Elephas maximus indicus: one gene and its partner. The protein of the gene in region 2 interacts with the protein of the main gene of each other region in a biochemical or structural test. Links are inferred from orthologs where the notes say so. Each region holds a gene or a part of one and is shown on either strand. Other genes may lie near its edges. The genes, in order: COPRS and PRMT5.

The links.
Region 1: the proteins of PRMT5 (region 2) and COPRS form a complex in vitro, tested with the Homo sapiens proteins (3 studies listed by BioGRID, with this or other methods). The link is inferred for Elephas maximus indicus from reciprocal best matches to the Homo sapiens genes PRMT5 and COPRS.

What each region holds. Positions count from the first base shown.
Region 1 is NC_064837.1:26,513,255-26,520,873, reverse strand, and holds the start of COPRS (coordinator of PRMT5 and differentiation stimulator), read left to right. Parts: upstream 1-4,462; 5' UTR 4,463-4,561; coding exon 4,562-4,660; intron 4,661-6,964; coding exon 6,965-7,034; intron 7,035-7,619. Other genes in the region: UTP6 (U3 small nucleolar RNA-associated protein 6 homolog), read left to right, coding at 552-709. UniProt on the Homo sapiens protein: Histone-binding protein required for histone H4 methyltransferase activity of PRMT5.
Region 2 is NC_064828.1:34,276,075-34,284,124, forward strand, and holds the start of PRMT5 (protein arginine N-methyltransferase 5), read right to left. Parts: upstream 3,121-8,050; 5' UTR 3,004-3,120; coding exon 2,894-3,003; intron 2,278-2,893; coding exon 2,159-2,277; intron 1,856-2,158; coding exon 1,770-1,855; intron 1,595-1,769; coding exon 1,460-1,594; intron 990-1,459; coding exon 877-989; intron 731-876; coding exon 681-730; intron 1-680. UniProt on the Homo sapiens protein: Arginine methyltransferase that can both catalyze the formation of omega-N monomethylarginine (MMA) and symmetrical dimethylarginine (sDMA), with a preference for the formation of MMA.

The DNA of each region.
Region 1 (7,619 bases), on a different chromosome or scaffold from region 2:
TTGGACTTGTAAGATGTACCTCTGGGCATAGGTATGTCATGTAGAATCTGGGGCTTTATATTTGAACACAAAAACACTGACATGTATAGTTACCAGCCTCATATAAAAAAAAAATTAGTTTGTACATGGTTTCACTGACCTTTTCCTGGTGAAATGAATGAAAGCTGCATTTTTGCTGCCCTCAGCAAGTTTTATTAGCAAGTTTTAAAGTTAGAGTGAATTCATTTGGGTCAGTTTCACCTTGAAAGAGACTTAGTAAAATCTTCCCTCTAAAATATTTAGTTTTTTTGACTTTAAGAAATAACATAGGCTGCCATGATTAAAGTGAAGGTTTTCGACTGTTATTTAAAATTTGTTTTGATATACCTTGGTGTAAAGAATCCGGGTGCGAAAGGTACTGTCTTATATAGGATTCTAGGGAAATAACAGCGAGAAGTTAAATTTCTTGGAAATCTTGAGTTGAATCAATACTAAATAGTTAAATTTACCTGATAAAGCCCTGCCAGTTGTCTGATCGTATGTTGACAGTAATTTTTTTGACTCTTTTCAAGATCTTTGGATGGATTACATCAAAGAGGAATTGAATCACCCTCTTGGTAGACCTGAGAACTGTGGACAGATCTATTGGCGAGCCATGAAGATGTTGCAGGGAGAATCAGCAGAGGCGTTTGTAGCTAAACATACCATGTATCAGGCTGGCCAGCTGTGAAAAGAGGAAGAACACAGCCCACTTTGTGAAAAAGTATTGTAAGCCCTCTGGGCAGACTGTCAGTTTGTAATTTGCTTAGAGATGGCTAATGGGATTTTGAGACATAATTTAATTTTGCGTTGATGTGTTAATCTTTAATTCCAAAAAAGAGAATGAACTGTTTAGTAGCAGAAAGCTACTTGTTGAGGCTGAACCTGCTTCAGGTTCTAAATGTTTTCCAAAATATATGGAAATCATACAAGTGAGTTTAATTTATTATACCCCACTCCCTGGTCAGTTAAAATGGAGGAGGAAGCCCAGTTCCGCATGTTTATTTTCTCTTTGTTATAAAAGTATATATAGTACGCATTTGTTATAGGAAATATGGGAGAAAATAAACACATCCTGTAATGCCGTCATCTGGAATTAAATTTAATAATTTGATTTCCCTTATCAGAATTGGATTGATGCTCATTCATTCATGCAAGGAATATTTGAGCTCCCACCATGTCAGGAGAGAAGGAAGGCCTTTTGGGATGGAGGTATAGGAGTTGAAGGAACAGAGCTGGGTGTCCCAAGAGCTGGTTGAAGCAGTAGAGAAGGAGATGCTGGGTACTGAGGAAAAGTTGTCCTTTAAGGAGGTTATAACATTATAAATTGTCTTCTGTCCCTGGGGCCAATGAGCAGAGAAGTGTTGGCACTGGGGAGGCCCAGGAACAGAGAAGGGCCAGGGGAGGAAGTAGATGAGAGCAGCACAGAAGGGCTTCAGAAGTGTGGTGTGAAAGGGTGGCTGGGAGGAGAAGACATTCTGGGAACAGGGGAGGAAATTATTAGAATTTTATATCCTTTAAGCAGGCCTTTGAACTGGTTCGTTCTTCTTCGAACCCCTGCTGAGAATTTGTACTTTAACCACAGATTTGCTGAATCAGAATCTATACTTTAAATAGTATTATATAATAAATTTTGAGAACCACTGCTGTACCAGTGGGGCGCTGGTGGTGGAGTGGTTAAGAGCCAGGCTACTAACCAAAAGGTCAGCAGTTTGAATCCAGCTGCTCTTTGGAAACCCTATGGGGCAGTTCTCTGTCCTGTATGGTTGCTTTGAGTCAGAATATGAGCTGGAATCATCTCCGCAGCAGCGGGTTTGGTTTTTTGGCCTGGCTTTACCAGTGGTTCTCAGAATTGGTCCCTAACCAGCAGTATTAGCCTCCTCTGGGAACTTGTTAGAGATGCACATTCTCAGCAGGGGTTCCAAGGGAATGAAGCCCTGCCTTTCCCTTCATCTCATGATGTCACTGAGAGAAGCATTCAGTGCAATTTTATGTTCATGTCCAACTTAATATTGTTATTTTTCCGTGTCATTAAATAGCCTTAAAAACATTTAATGGATTACTAACACTCCATTGTATAAATGAGCCATTACTTATTTTACTAATCTCTTGTGGTTGGACCTTGTCATTTCTAATTTTTCTGTCTTAAAACACTGTAGTAAAAGAGTCTTGTAAACCTTTATTTACATTCCTGGTTATTTCCTTAAGGAGATTAATATTTGCCAGTGGAATTACTGGATAAAAGGATATAACTAAAAGAATCTTGGTATGTGTTGTCACCTTGGTTCTTGGAAGCATTGCATTAGAGTGACAACATCTTTACCTGCACTGGCTGTTATGTTTATTTTCACCATTTGAATAGGTAAAAAGTGACATATCGTTGTTTTAATTTGCAGTTTGTTGCTACTAGTGAGGAAACCCTGGTGGCGTAGTGGTTAAGAGTTACGGCTGCTAACCAAAAGGTTGGCAGTTCGAATCCACTAGGCACTCCTTGGAAACCCTATGGGGCAGCTCTGTTCTGTCCTGTAGGGTTGCTATGAGTTGGAATCGACTTGATGGCAATGGGTTGCTATTAGTGAAGTTAATTTTTTTTTTATGTTTCTCCTGTCTTTTCATGTTCTTTGACCACTTTTTGAACTATTCTTTTTTTCTTACTAATATACAAGAAATGATTCTTTATATAAAGAGTATTAATCTTTTGTCCCTGGTTTGTTGCAAATAATTTACCCCCAGCTTTTTTTTTTAATGATGTTTTTTGACATTCAGAGGTATTTTTGGTGATTTGTATTGTTTTTAAAATACTTTGAAAGCCCTTTCCCTTGTTGAGGTCAACCGATTTCCTCTCCCCCAGCAGTTAACTAATTTTTTGTGCACCATTTATGGCCGTTACTCTTCTCTCTACTGATTTTGTGATGCTACCTTTATTATATATTAAATTTTCATGAGTATCAGAGTCTGATTTGGGCATTTTTATTTTGAGCTTTTGTGCTCTAAGTTGTTTGCTTGTCATTTGTCTTAAGAAAAATTTCCTCTTTCCCCCTCTGACTTAAGTCTTGGAAAGTGTAACATTCTACGTGGTGTTTTTATTTTGGGAGAGAGAGACTTTTTGCATGAAAGGGAAGAGAGTAAAGGGGGCTGTGGCTGGCTGGTGTCGGCAAGGCCCTGAAGGTGGGTCATGTCTACGGTTCCCACCATTGCAGGGGATGAAATGCATCTGGCTAGTTCATGGAGCGCTGCACGCTTATAGATAGTAGCCCCTAGCTATGTGTGGTGACTTAAGTTAAAATTTATTTAAAAATTCAGCTTCTCAGTCACACTGGCCACATCTCCAGTGCTTGGTAACCACGTGGCTAGTGGCCACCATGTAGTATAGCACAGGTGACAGGACATCTATTTCCACCATCGAAGAAGGTTTAGTTGGACATTGCTAACCTAGAGCCATCAGACTTGGGGACACTGACCAGGTCAGCAGAACACAGCACATTAATTGGTCACATTCATTTCCCTGTAGGAAAGGCTACAGAGAGAATAGAAACCAACACCGAATAGTAAGTGTCAACCGTTAAACTTTTTCAAATGCCTTATTTACAAACAATACACTCTTCAGGGAGGTAAGGAATAGGCTAATTTAAGTTCCCAAAAGGTGTGGTAAGGTTGCTTGGTGAGCCAAGAGTCCCAACTTCCAGCTTCTCTGATACTTAAATGTTAACATGTGGTCATCACCTTGAGCAGGTGTGTTAGTAGAGCATAGACAGTGTAGGGAGGCAGGTTTTAGAGTACTAGACTAGCCGTATCTACAGCTCAAGCCTGCCTATCATAGAGCGCCTTCTTATGACCTCGAAGGCAAAATGGGAATAACTGTGTTGTAGAGCGCCAGGCTTTCAGCATGTAAAGATAGCTGAGCAACGGGGCGGGGGTCAGACTACCCTCACATCACACGTTTAGAGCAATGACTGTCAATAACCTTGTCCAGCGCATAGCAGGAGTTGGTTGTTTTGATCAAACTGGTTAATTTTAAATACTGTCATTAATTCAGGGTGGAGTCACTGGGCTGCTGAGTTGTTTCATCCATTTGTGGGTGAGTTATATTTCATTTCCAGCCTGAATTCCGTAGGAGCCCTCCTGAAATGAGATGAAAAGTGAAATGTGGTTGGAGCTATACAATTGCACTGAAACTTTTGAGAGCTGGGGTTACTAGTCGGTAGACCCTTGGGTAATTCAATACAGAAATTCGAGCCTTTGAAACTGAAGCATTGCAGACGTAGTCAGTCGTTCAGTCCTAGGGGCTGGACTGGTGGGAGCTACAAAAATCAGCATCCCAGCCTATTTCCCATTCGGGGTCCGGGGTGGGGGCGGGGGAGGAATTTTTCGCTCCGCCTCGCCCCGCCCGCGCCCCGCCCCCGGCCTCCGCGTGACCCGGCCCCGCCCCCTCGGCCGGCCCCCGGCTGATTGGCCGTCCGCGGCGTCTCCTCGGGCTGGCAGCCAGGCCGGGGCGTCACGTGGCCGAGCAGCGTCCAGGGCGCCGAGCCGCGGGCCGCCTGGCATGGACCCTCAGGCCCCCGGGGCCCAGGCGCTGGGGGCGGCCGAGCCGCCTCGGGGCCCGCCGCCATCGAGCGCGCGGGAGGCGCCTCCCAGCCCGGGGGTGAGCGCGGCGCCGGGGCCGCTCCGGCCACCACCTGCGGCGGGTCGGGAAGTGGGGGGCGCGCCGCGCCGGGTCGGGCTGGGGCCGCGAAGCGGGGGAAGCGCCTCTGGCCCGGTGCGGGCCGCCCGCGAATGCCGAGCGCCGTTTGGGCGCGCGCTAGAGCTGGAAACGGCCGGGCCGCGGGGCCGCGGGGCCGTGGGGCTGCGGGGCCGCAGGGCCGCGGGGCTGTGGGGCTGCGGGGCCGCAGGGCCGCGGGGCTGCGGGGCTGCGGGGAAGGACCTGTGAGGGCGTAGGCGGGCGCGTCGGGTGGGGAGGGAAGGCTGCAGGCTCACGGGGACGGCTCTGCGTGCTCGGTCAGTGCGAGGTGATGCTGATGGCCGAGAGCCCCGGAAACCGGCTGCTGTGGGGGGCTTGGGCGGGGGCCAGGTGAGGGCGGCGCCGAGAGGAATGTCCTTAGGGACTCATGTCCATTGGCGGGGATGCGCAGCTAACCCTGAGCACCCGGTGAGGCCACATGCGCTCTCGTCTTTTATACCGGAACCAAAACACCCCATTTGACGCAGTGTTTTCGGAAACTTGTTTTCATTTATACACCAGACAGCTTCTGGTTTTCCAAAGACCTTTATTACAGTTACTACCTGCACAGTTGGCTGTCTGTGATCCCTGCTGGACGCTGAGCTCCTTGAGGCTAGAAGCCTTGGTTGAGTGCACAGTGCCTGCCACGTAGGTAACAGACAGACACTCCAGTATTAATTGAATGAATGAATGGAATACTTATTAAGAATCAAAGAGGGTACTTAACCAAGGTATGATGTGAAAAATACAGTGATAAAATATTTGGGAGCGCCGAATAGGATGAGAGGCATTTACCCTGGCAGAGTAGGAAGGGATGTGCCCTTCCTCTCCAAGGTGAGAGGGTGCTGGTGCCTGCAGAGGTGTTGAGACGAGAACATGCATGGCAAACGGTTTGGAGCTTGGGTCCCAGAGGGGAGAGAGAGAACTATGCTGCACAGGTTGACGGGGCTGGGGCTGAATGCCATAGCTGATTGTGTGGAGGGCTGTAGGTTTTTGATCACAGTAGTGATCACGCTAAGGCTGGGTAAGAAGGGATGGGGGAGGCAGTTAGGAGTCTCTTGCAGTAGTCTAGGTGAGAGACCTCGCAGGTGGCAGCAGTGGCCAAGGATTGTCACCACTGGGAGGGAATTGAATCATTAAATCCAGGCATGACTAGATCATGAATGCTAATACTCTGCATGCTTAGGTCTCGGGCAGGTGTCAAGTTCAGTTTACACATGGGGGGAAAAGAGAAGTGGACTCGAATTCAACAAATGTTACATTCCTGCTACATACTAGGTGTTTCCATAAATGTTAGCATGAGCCTCCTGCTTATGATGAGGTAACATCACCTCCAGTTTCTATAGAATAGAAACCCAGGCAGGATGGTTGAGGTGACATGGCCACCTGACTGGTCACTCTGAACAGCACATCTGGTATTGAAATCAGTCTTCTCTTGCAGGCTGTGAGTGTTTCTTATTCCACCTAGAAAGAAGTCTTGGAGGCCATACGATTTCAGTAACTTTTGAGTGATGGACACAGATGCTTCTGGTTGGCTGAGGGGAGAAGATTTCCAGTTAGGTCAGAAATATTTCCTTCAGTGCTCAGCAATGCAGAGGAACCAGAGCCCTGCTCCCCCGACACATCAGCCAGGAGATAGAAACCACACTACCTATTTGAACAGAGAATTTGAGAGCATCGTTAACTAGATGTAAAGTTGTTATCTAGGTACTAACTGAGAAGGTAAAAGATGAATAAGCAGGTAGCAACTACAGGAAATAGCTACCAGCACTAGGACTGAGGGAACAAAGGGGTGCGGTGGGAAAGATTAAAACGTAAAAGTGAAGCCTTGCAGAGCTGAAATTCCTGTCTCTGAGGGGACTGCCTCAACTAGTGCTCCAAGCTTGGAAGAGGGGCCTCAAGTGCTGGGGTGAGCCATGAGGCCCTTTCTGCAAGTGTTGGGAAAACCATAAACTGGATTCAACTGCTGCTGTAGAAAGGCACTCCTGCTGCTGGGGTGAAGAAGTATTGCTGGGGCGATGTTTACAGGACTAGGAAGGAGCATGTCCCTTCTCCTTCCAGCCTAGCCAAGTCTAACAGGACAAAGCAGAAAAGTAGGTTGCAGAGTTCCAGCCCGAGAATCACAAAGCAGAATTTAGATGTGTGGCTTTGGAGCTGAGGTACAGTAGCTTAATAACGGGCATACCCTAGATACCCAAATCTCCAGGTAACTGCTGCTTCTTCCTACAGATGGGCTTTGCCACATATGACCACTGCTGCCCGATGGAGAGGGAGACTGTGAAGGCCACAGGTCGACTAGGTAAGTAGACACCCAGAGACTGAGATGGATGTTGGCAGAAACCAGGGGATTGACTAGACGGGCATTCCCTATGCTTCTTGTTACCTGCTCTTTCCTGCCAGTCCTTCCCTTTGCTGCTGTCTCTGCTTACTGTTTCAACAGTGTCCTTGATGGGAGCCCAACGGAGCTTCCTTAAGGGAAGCCCTGGACTTTTCTTATACATAAACCCCTTGCTTCCACTAAGAGAAACAGCATGGAACAATGGAAAGAGTATCTTTGGAGCAGGGCAAAACTGTTTTAAATTTTAGCCCTGGGTGAGATAGTCCTGAGCTTGAGCTTCGTGGCCTTAGAAATGAGTCACTTAGCCTTTCTTCATTTTTAAATGGGGGTAAGAATACCTACCTCAGAGGGCTGCTCTGAAGATTGGGTGAAAGGATATAGAACTATGCTGCCCAATACGATAGCCATTAGCAACCAGTGCTATTTTAATTAAATGAAAAATTCAGCTCCTTGGTTGCACTAGCCAAAATTCAGGTACTCAGTAACCACATGTGGCTAGAACTAACCTGTTGGACAGTACAAATTATAGAATATTTCTATCATCAC
Region 2 (8,050 bases):
AAACTAAAGGGCCACATAAGCAGAGACTACATTAGCCTGAGTCCAGAAGAACTAGAAAGTGCCTAGCTACAACCGATGACTATCCTGACAGGGTACACAACAGAGAACTCCTGAGGGAGCAGGAGAGCAGTGGGATGCAGACCACAAATTCTCATAAAAAGACCAGACTTAATGGTCTGACTTAGACTAGAATGACCCTGGAGGTCATGGTCCCCAGAACTTCTGTTAGCCCAAGACAGGAACCATACCCAAAGCCAACTTTTCAGACAGGGATTAGATTAGACTACGGGATAGACAATGATACTGGTGAAAAATGAGCTTCTTGGATCAAGTAGACACATAAGACTATGCTGGCATCTCCTGTCCAAAGGGGAGATGAGAGGGTAGAGGGGGTCAGAAGCTGGCCAAATGGACATGAAAAGAGAGTGGAGGGAAGGAGAGTGCTGTCTCATTAGGGGAAGAGAAATTAGGAGTATATAGCAAGGCGTTTATAAATTTTTCTGTAAGTCTGACTTGATTTGTAAACTATCACTTAAAGCATTAAAGCACAATAAAACTTACAAAAAAAAAAAGTAGGAAAACTGCCCAGCAGCCAAGTACACATGACACTTTAAACTCCCGATTCCTATTCATAGAGGGTCAGAGAAGGGATACCTACCCTAGGAACCTCATGGACTTACCCACTGCAATCCTCTTGCTGTAGTCACACAAAGTCCGAAAGTTGTGCCACCTGTTCAGGGCAAATACAGCAACATACAGTCAAATGCACAGAACCTACCCATCACCAAGTTCAAAGGAGAGACTTCCCTAAAGGTTCCACCTGTACTTCCCCTCACTCTACCCTTTAACTTACAGAAGCACCAAAAGGAGACATACCACATCCATGTCTTCTCCTCCCCACTATACTCCTCTGTGTGTGTGGTTGGTGCATTCTCGATGATATCATCCCGCAGGTCCTCTGGTGCCACCAATGGGACCCGCATCCAGAACTGTACATGACAGGTACCTTATTTAGAACTCACTGTGTCCAGAAAGTTTCCCCCCCGTCAAAAGATCTTGATCCAGACCTCAAGTAAATACCTTTATATGCTTTTCCCAATCTGTGATTAGGTACATGTACATAAGGTCACTGTACTTAAAGTCACTATACATAGGGTCACCATGAGTCAGAACCAACTCGACAGCACCTAACAACATGTACAAAAGGACATGTATCCTGTGTTTGTCCTTATGGAAATGTCTGCCTTTCCTTTATCTCAACTCTAAGTTTCTAGACATAAAGTATTATATACTGCATACGTCTTATATCTCTCTGCATACCACTTTTATTTCGGAGATAGGCAATACTGACGTTTTAATTCTGCCATGTGCACCTTCCACTGAATGGCTAGGCATAAAAAGACACTTACAGCAGCAGACTACCGTATTATACAGTAGGAAAGGAGCCCCTCAGCCGTACCATAGAAGAGTGGTGGCCAGTGTGGATGTGGTTGGTCAAAACTCTGGCCAGGTTAGTGTTATCCTCCTGATTGAGGGGCAGCAGGAAAGCTGGAAGACCCAGATATGCCCCAAAATTCAGCTCCTGTAACATAGCCTAGACACAGAGATCAAGAGGAAAAGGTGAAGAGCTAGCAACCCAAATAGCTTTAACTCTGTTGTATCAGACACCTGATTCACCAAGTTATGAGAGGAAAAACTGCTCTCCCCACCCAGCTCAGTTTCAGATCTAATCCTTAGAAAGATCCAGTGGAGAGGTGAAACACCCTTACCGCCTCTGAGTTCCTGCGGATCTTCTCCACTTTTGAGTCTGGATGAATCCATGGAGAAAGCTTTCCGACAATTAGTGTATTCCAGTCTGCAAGTCCCAGCCAAGAAAGACAAAGACAGAATAAGGTTCAGCACTTTATTCTTGCTAAATTTCTTTCTTAGCAGGATACAGAGTAAGAGACAAGGACTTTTTCTATCACAGACATAGAATAGTTTGATCCAGAATAGGGAACTAAGACTTTTAGCAAGTAAGCACGGAGAAAATAAGATTATCTGTATCACAGGAACTAATCAACACTCCCAAATCAGGAAAGGAAGAGAATGAGGACCCTGATAAAGTAGAAGTTGTTACTGCCTCTGATAATTAAGGGGTATACGGGATGGTCCCTACCCCTTCCTGATAGCAGTAGGTCAGATCGTGTCTGGGGACCAGGCCGATTCTTAGCAGGTTCCTGAGTGAACTCCCTCTTGAAACGCGGGTGGAAGACAGGCATGCAGAGGAAATCAAACCTATAACCACGACAGACCCAGAGTCATCATGTAAAGAGAACAGCAATGCCCAGAGAGGTCCAAGCCAACTGGATTTAGACTACCTCAGTTTGCACCGAGCCCTTTCAGTTGCCATCAGTCACCCCACTGGGCTGCTGAGTTCAGCCCACGTTGGAGCATATCAATTCCGCTGCACTGTGCCTCAATACCAGTATGCCACGCAAAAAAAGAAAGACTCAAAAACAGCCGTGGACCAGACGAGTAAGAAGAGGTGAAAATTCATTCCAAGGAGAATACTTTCTACTCTGCTGTCACTGGCCTTCCAGGATTAAATCTGCCCCAATACTGCCCATGCCTCCCCTTTCTTTTTTCCTTTCTTGCTCCCTAATACTTTCACTCCTAGACAAGAACCTCGACTTCACTGCCTCTTTTTGGGTTTATTCAACAATTCCCCCGACTTTTGGCTCAGTGACCGCACACCCCAAAAGTTTCTCTTCCCTCGCTCCTGGAGTCGAGAGCTCTCCCGCCTACATCCTACCCTTTTCGATCCCCTCACCCCTGCCTCTCAGGGATGACTAATCTGCCCCTCTCGGTTCGCGAGTTCGGACCCCGGGTTCCGTTCGGTCTGGGTCCTCACCCCTGTTTGGCCACAGCCCCCAACGTATCAGCTATTTCGGGGACACAATTCAGGTCCCTTCCGCTGGACACGCGGCTCCCACCGGCACCCCCGACCGCCATCGCCGCCATCTTTCCCCTCGCGTTGTCCACGCCGGGGTTCCTTAATACTAGCAACCAATCAAAAACCCTATAAAAAGCCCCCAGAAGGCGGGACGAGTCGCCTTAACAACCAGAGCGTCTTCTACAGCTCGCGTACAGGAGACAGAGGGGTGGGGGCTCTTCCCGCCAATCCTCGGGCTTCACTGTGACGTGTGGCGTGGCTCCCAAAGATCTACCAACCGCAGGGTCTGGTACGTGACGCGCTTTAAGTTCCCATAATGCTTTATGCCTTTGCAGACTTCGTCAAGAGACTACACGTCCCGTGAAACCCTGCAGTATAAGCTTGAAGTGTCATCAGTGAGAAGGGCCACCTTGTCTCAGGGCCAGTGGCGCAATGGATAACGCGTCTGACTACGGATCAGAAGATTCCAGGTTCGACTCCTGGCTGGCTCGGTGGGACGGGCGTTCCCTTATTACACCCTAATGCAGTAATTGGTGTAAGGCTCGTGTTTCTGTGTTTTCTCGTTATCTTTTCACACCCTGATTTCAGGTCGTAATTTGATTAAGTTCTACCGCCAGTTTTTCCCCGTTACGCCTTCAAAGGTGGTTCTTGTGTCCACCTGTACACTGAGAAAACTGAATTAATATAGTTGGAGCTCTTAAATTGGGATCTGTCCCTGTTCGTTGCATGTTACATTTTTAAATAGACAATGATCACTCTGCCACTAATTCCTTGTGATTCTGTCTCAAACACAAAAGCTAAATAAACACACCCCTGAAGATCAGAGAAAAAGAATTCATGATGCGAGATTACAGTAGAGGGGAGCCATGGAGCTGCCTGGCGAGGATCGAAAGAAACTATGTACTTTCCAATGTCAACAGCTGCTATAGGGACAGAGAAGAAGGAAAGGAATCAGGCAAAGAAAGGAATAGGAAAGGGAACACCTGAAAGCTGGCGGCCCAACCGTATTGAAGGCCCTACCTCTGGGGTGGAGGGAGGGGAGGTGGATAGAGAGAACACAGCACAAGAGGCCCTAAGCAGGAAGCATTGACAGAACTGAGGGACCGACTGGCAGGGGACTGTGAGAATGGGAAGTCTGGGGTGATGCCCAGGGCTCTGGCCTCTCAGTGAGACAAGAAATGAGCGGTGCAAATTTAAGGGGAAATTAAGGTTTGGACGTGCTGAATTGAACGTCTAGAGGGCGCTGTGTAATAGAGAGTTGGATGAACAGTGATGTGAACCGGACAAGATTTGGAAATCACCAGAAGACAGGTAGTGACTGAAGTCATAACAGTGAATGAGATCACCATGGCCTGTGGGTGACAGAGCCCTGAGAACATGGAAAGGGTGTATATAAGATAATTTCTCCTCTGAGGAACCCTGGATTTAATGTAAGTGCCTTAAAAAGAGGAAAACCCAAAAGCCAGAGATCTAAGGAAATGCCCCACCGGGTCTGAGGGTTTGGAAATACTGTTGTCCCATCCTAAGTCTTTATTTGATACGTGCAGGTTTGTTTTATTATTATTAATCAATTTTTTATAACAGTTTTAGATTTGCAGAAAAATTGAACAGATAGTGCAGAATTCTCATATAGCCCTGCTTCCCCACCCCAACACCACACACCACTTTTAACTTCTATTAGTATGATACATTTGTTATAATTAATGAACCAATATTGATATATTATTATTAATTAAAGTTCATACTTTATTCAGAATGTCCTTTGTTCTAGGATCCCATCCAGGATATATTACTTTTAGTCATCATATCTCTTAAGGCTTCTTTTGGCTGTGACAGTTTCTCAGATTTTCCTTGTTTTTGGTGACTTTGATAGTTTTGAGGAGGACTGGTCAGCTGTATCCTAGAATGCCTCTCTATTGGAATTTGTCTGATGTTTTTCCCACGATTAGACTGAGGTTATGGGTTTTGGGGAGGAAGATCACAGAAGTGCCATTTTTATCACATCGTATCAAGGGTACATACTACCAACATGATTATGACCGTTGATATTGACCTTGATGACCTGACTGAAGCAGTGTTTATCAGGTTTCTCCACTGTAGATCTATTCCTTTTCTTCCTTTCTGTGGAAGGAAGTTACTATGCAGTGTACTTAAGGAGTGAGGAGTTATGCTCCCCTCCTTTAGGGTGGAACATCTACAGTAGATTGTTGTCCACAGGAAGTGGGTGAGGGTTCTGCAGACATCCTAAGGGATAGAAAAAGAGGTGTGGAAGCCTGCTTATTCTGTGCCCCAGCTGTGCCCAGCCAAACTCTGCATTCACAGAAGACTTATTAGATGTTGTTTTTCCTTCAGAAGCTAATTATCTGAGTTGTGGACCATCTGTGCTCCTGGCATCCCACTCCTGACGTCAAGCTGGTGGCTGCTCTTTTGATTGTTAACTAACCCATCTCTGGGTAAGAAAGAGTGAGGAAAAATCTATGAAGCAGTAATGTCAGTTTGGCCATCAGTTAAAATAATTTTCAAAATGATTCATGTAAAAAAAGCCTGGACTTTCTGACTGACCTTCAAGTTCAGTTTGTTGTTAGAAATTTCATTTGTCTGTGTTGTCTTTGTTTTTCCAGTCAGGACGGCCTCAGCTGTGTGGCAAGCATGATGCTGAGCGGTTCCCCATAATTCCATACCACATTGCTCTCCACTATCCTACAGCTCTGGTCTGTGCCATAAAAAAGCAGCATGTAACTGTGGGTCTATCTATAGGAACTTAGAGGAGCAAAAAGGGAAGGACTGAAAAAGAAATAGAGAACCTTCTACAGGACTTGGCCATAGGCAAAAAGTTGAAGTTGGTGACATCTATCACTCTCTGCTTCGCTCTCCGTGCTGAACTCTTGCATTCAGAAGCGTGTGTATAAAACTATGGGATGTAGGCTTTTGCTGGGATGGAAGTAGGGAGATGGTAGAACAGAAAGGAAAATACCCTGGGTGAGAAATACTGTTACTTTCTCAAATAGGAGTAAGTGACCAACAGGCTACCAGCTGAAAAGTGGAGACTCTTCTGGAAGGGAAGGAGTACTCATTCCCGGATAATCCTCCCCACCAGGCCTTTGGTAGCGCAGTTAAATGTTCGACTGCTAACAGAAAGATTGGCAGTTGGAACCTATCCAGCGGTGCCTCAGAAGGCAGTCCTGCCCATCTGCTTCTGAAAGGTCACAGCCTTGAAAAGCCTATGGAGCAGTTCTACTCTGCACACATGGGGTCATGGAGTCGCCATGTGTCAGAATTGACTTGAGCCAACCAGGCCCTCCAGCAGTCCCACTGTCAGGCCCAGTCCTACTTGATCCTGGTTTTTGTCCTTGTTTAAACACCTCCCACCCATTGTAAACCCTCCTTTCATCTTCTTTTGTGCTCCCCTCCTCTCTTAGCTCTTTCCTCCCTCCCCAGATCCATCCTTACTCACCTCTGTGCTGGCCCAGCCAGCCGCACTATTCAAAACGGAAATGATGGCCCGTTTGACCCTCTTACTTGCTCCAAATTGCTTCTTCACAACGAAGGCTGTCCTCTAGCTACAAAAGTGGCAGAGTTACTGAGGCAAAATAATCTATGCCAATTTGCATTCTCTTCCTTGTCATCTCTATTATACAGTATTTATCTGTCAAAATGAAAGTAGAAACTGTTCTGCAAAATAAAAAAAGATAGAAAACTACCCAATTTATTTATGAAGCCAGAATAAACCTAATACAAAGACCTGTCAGAAGTAGCACCAAAATATAAAGCAAACAAAAAACTACAGACCAATCTCACTTATGAATATAAATATAAAATTCCAAAAATATTTAAGATTAACAAATAAAATTCAACAATGTATGAACATAATAATTATATACCACAACCAGTTAGAGTTTATCCCAGGGATTAACATAAGTTTAGGTATTAGAGAATTTATTTATATAATAGGTCAATAAGAAACCAAGAAAAACATTTGATTTTTTTCAATAATTACCAAAGAGAACATGGTAAGTCAATTTTCATTTTCTATAAATGTTTTTAATAGTCTTAATATTCTTCGTATATAAATATGTGTATATATATGATATATAAAGTCAACAACTTATATAAAGATGAAATAAAACAAGAATATCTGGTTTCATCACTGAGTTATTTAATATTGTTCTGAAAAATCCAATATAGTAAGACTTGAAAAAAGGAGTCATAACTTTTGGAAAGGAAGAGGCAAATTTATCATTGTTTGCAGATGATATGATTGTATACCTAGAAAATCCATGAGAATCAATTTTTAAATGATGAAAATTCATAACAAATTCAGAGAAGTCACTAGATACAAGACAAATATAAAATAAATCTGTACTCTTCTTATCTACTAGGAATAACCATTTAGAAGACATAATTAACAAAGATATCCCCCATAACAAGATTGTTACAAGCATGGCCCCTGGAGCCAGATGGCAAGAGGTCAAAGTCCTGCTCATCCATTTACTAACAGTGTGAGCCTAACCTCTCTGACCTCAGTTTCCTCATTCGTAAAATGGGAACGTAAATAATAATTCTTACATCATAAAACTGTCATGAGGATTAAATAGTTAATATAGTAAAGCATTCAGAATCTACCCTACACACAGTAAGCCTTCAATGTACATTAGCTACTGTGATTAGTATTTTCCCTGTTCGCAGTGGTAACAATACCACCACCATAAAGTACTTAGCTGTAATTTTACTGAAAAATATAAGGAATATATAAAAGAATATATAAATGTAAGGAATATATAAAAGAATATATTCTCTTTCCTATATAAAGAAAATCACAAAATTTTACCGAGACATGGAATGGACATTGACTCAACCACATTCCAGGCACTTAAAATATATTATCTCATTTAATTATCAGGACATAATCTTGTGAGGTAGGAATTATTAATATACCTCTTTTGTAGGTGAGAAAACAGAGGTTAAGTATCTTAACCAAAGTTTTGCTTAAATTAAATGGAAGAAACAGAATGAGAATTCAGTTCTTCTGATTTCCAGGTGTGTTGTAGTGTAAGGAATTGCCTGTATTCATGAGGGATAAGAATCAAGATCAGCACAAAGCTGGTTCCCATGAGG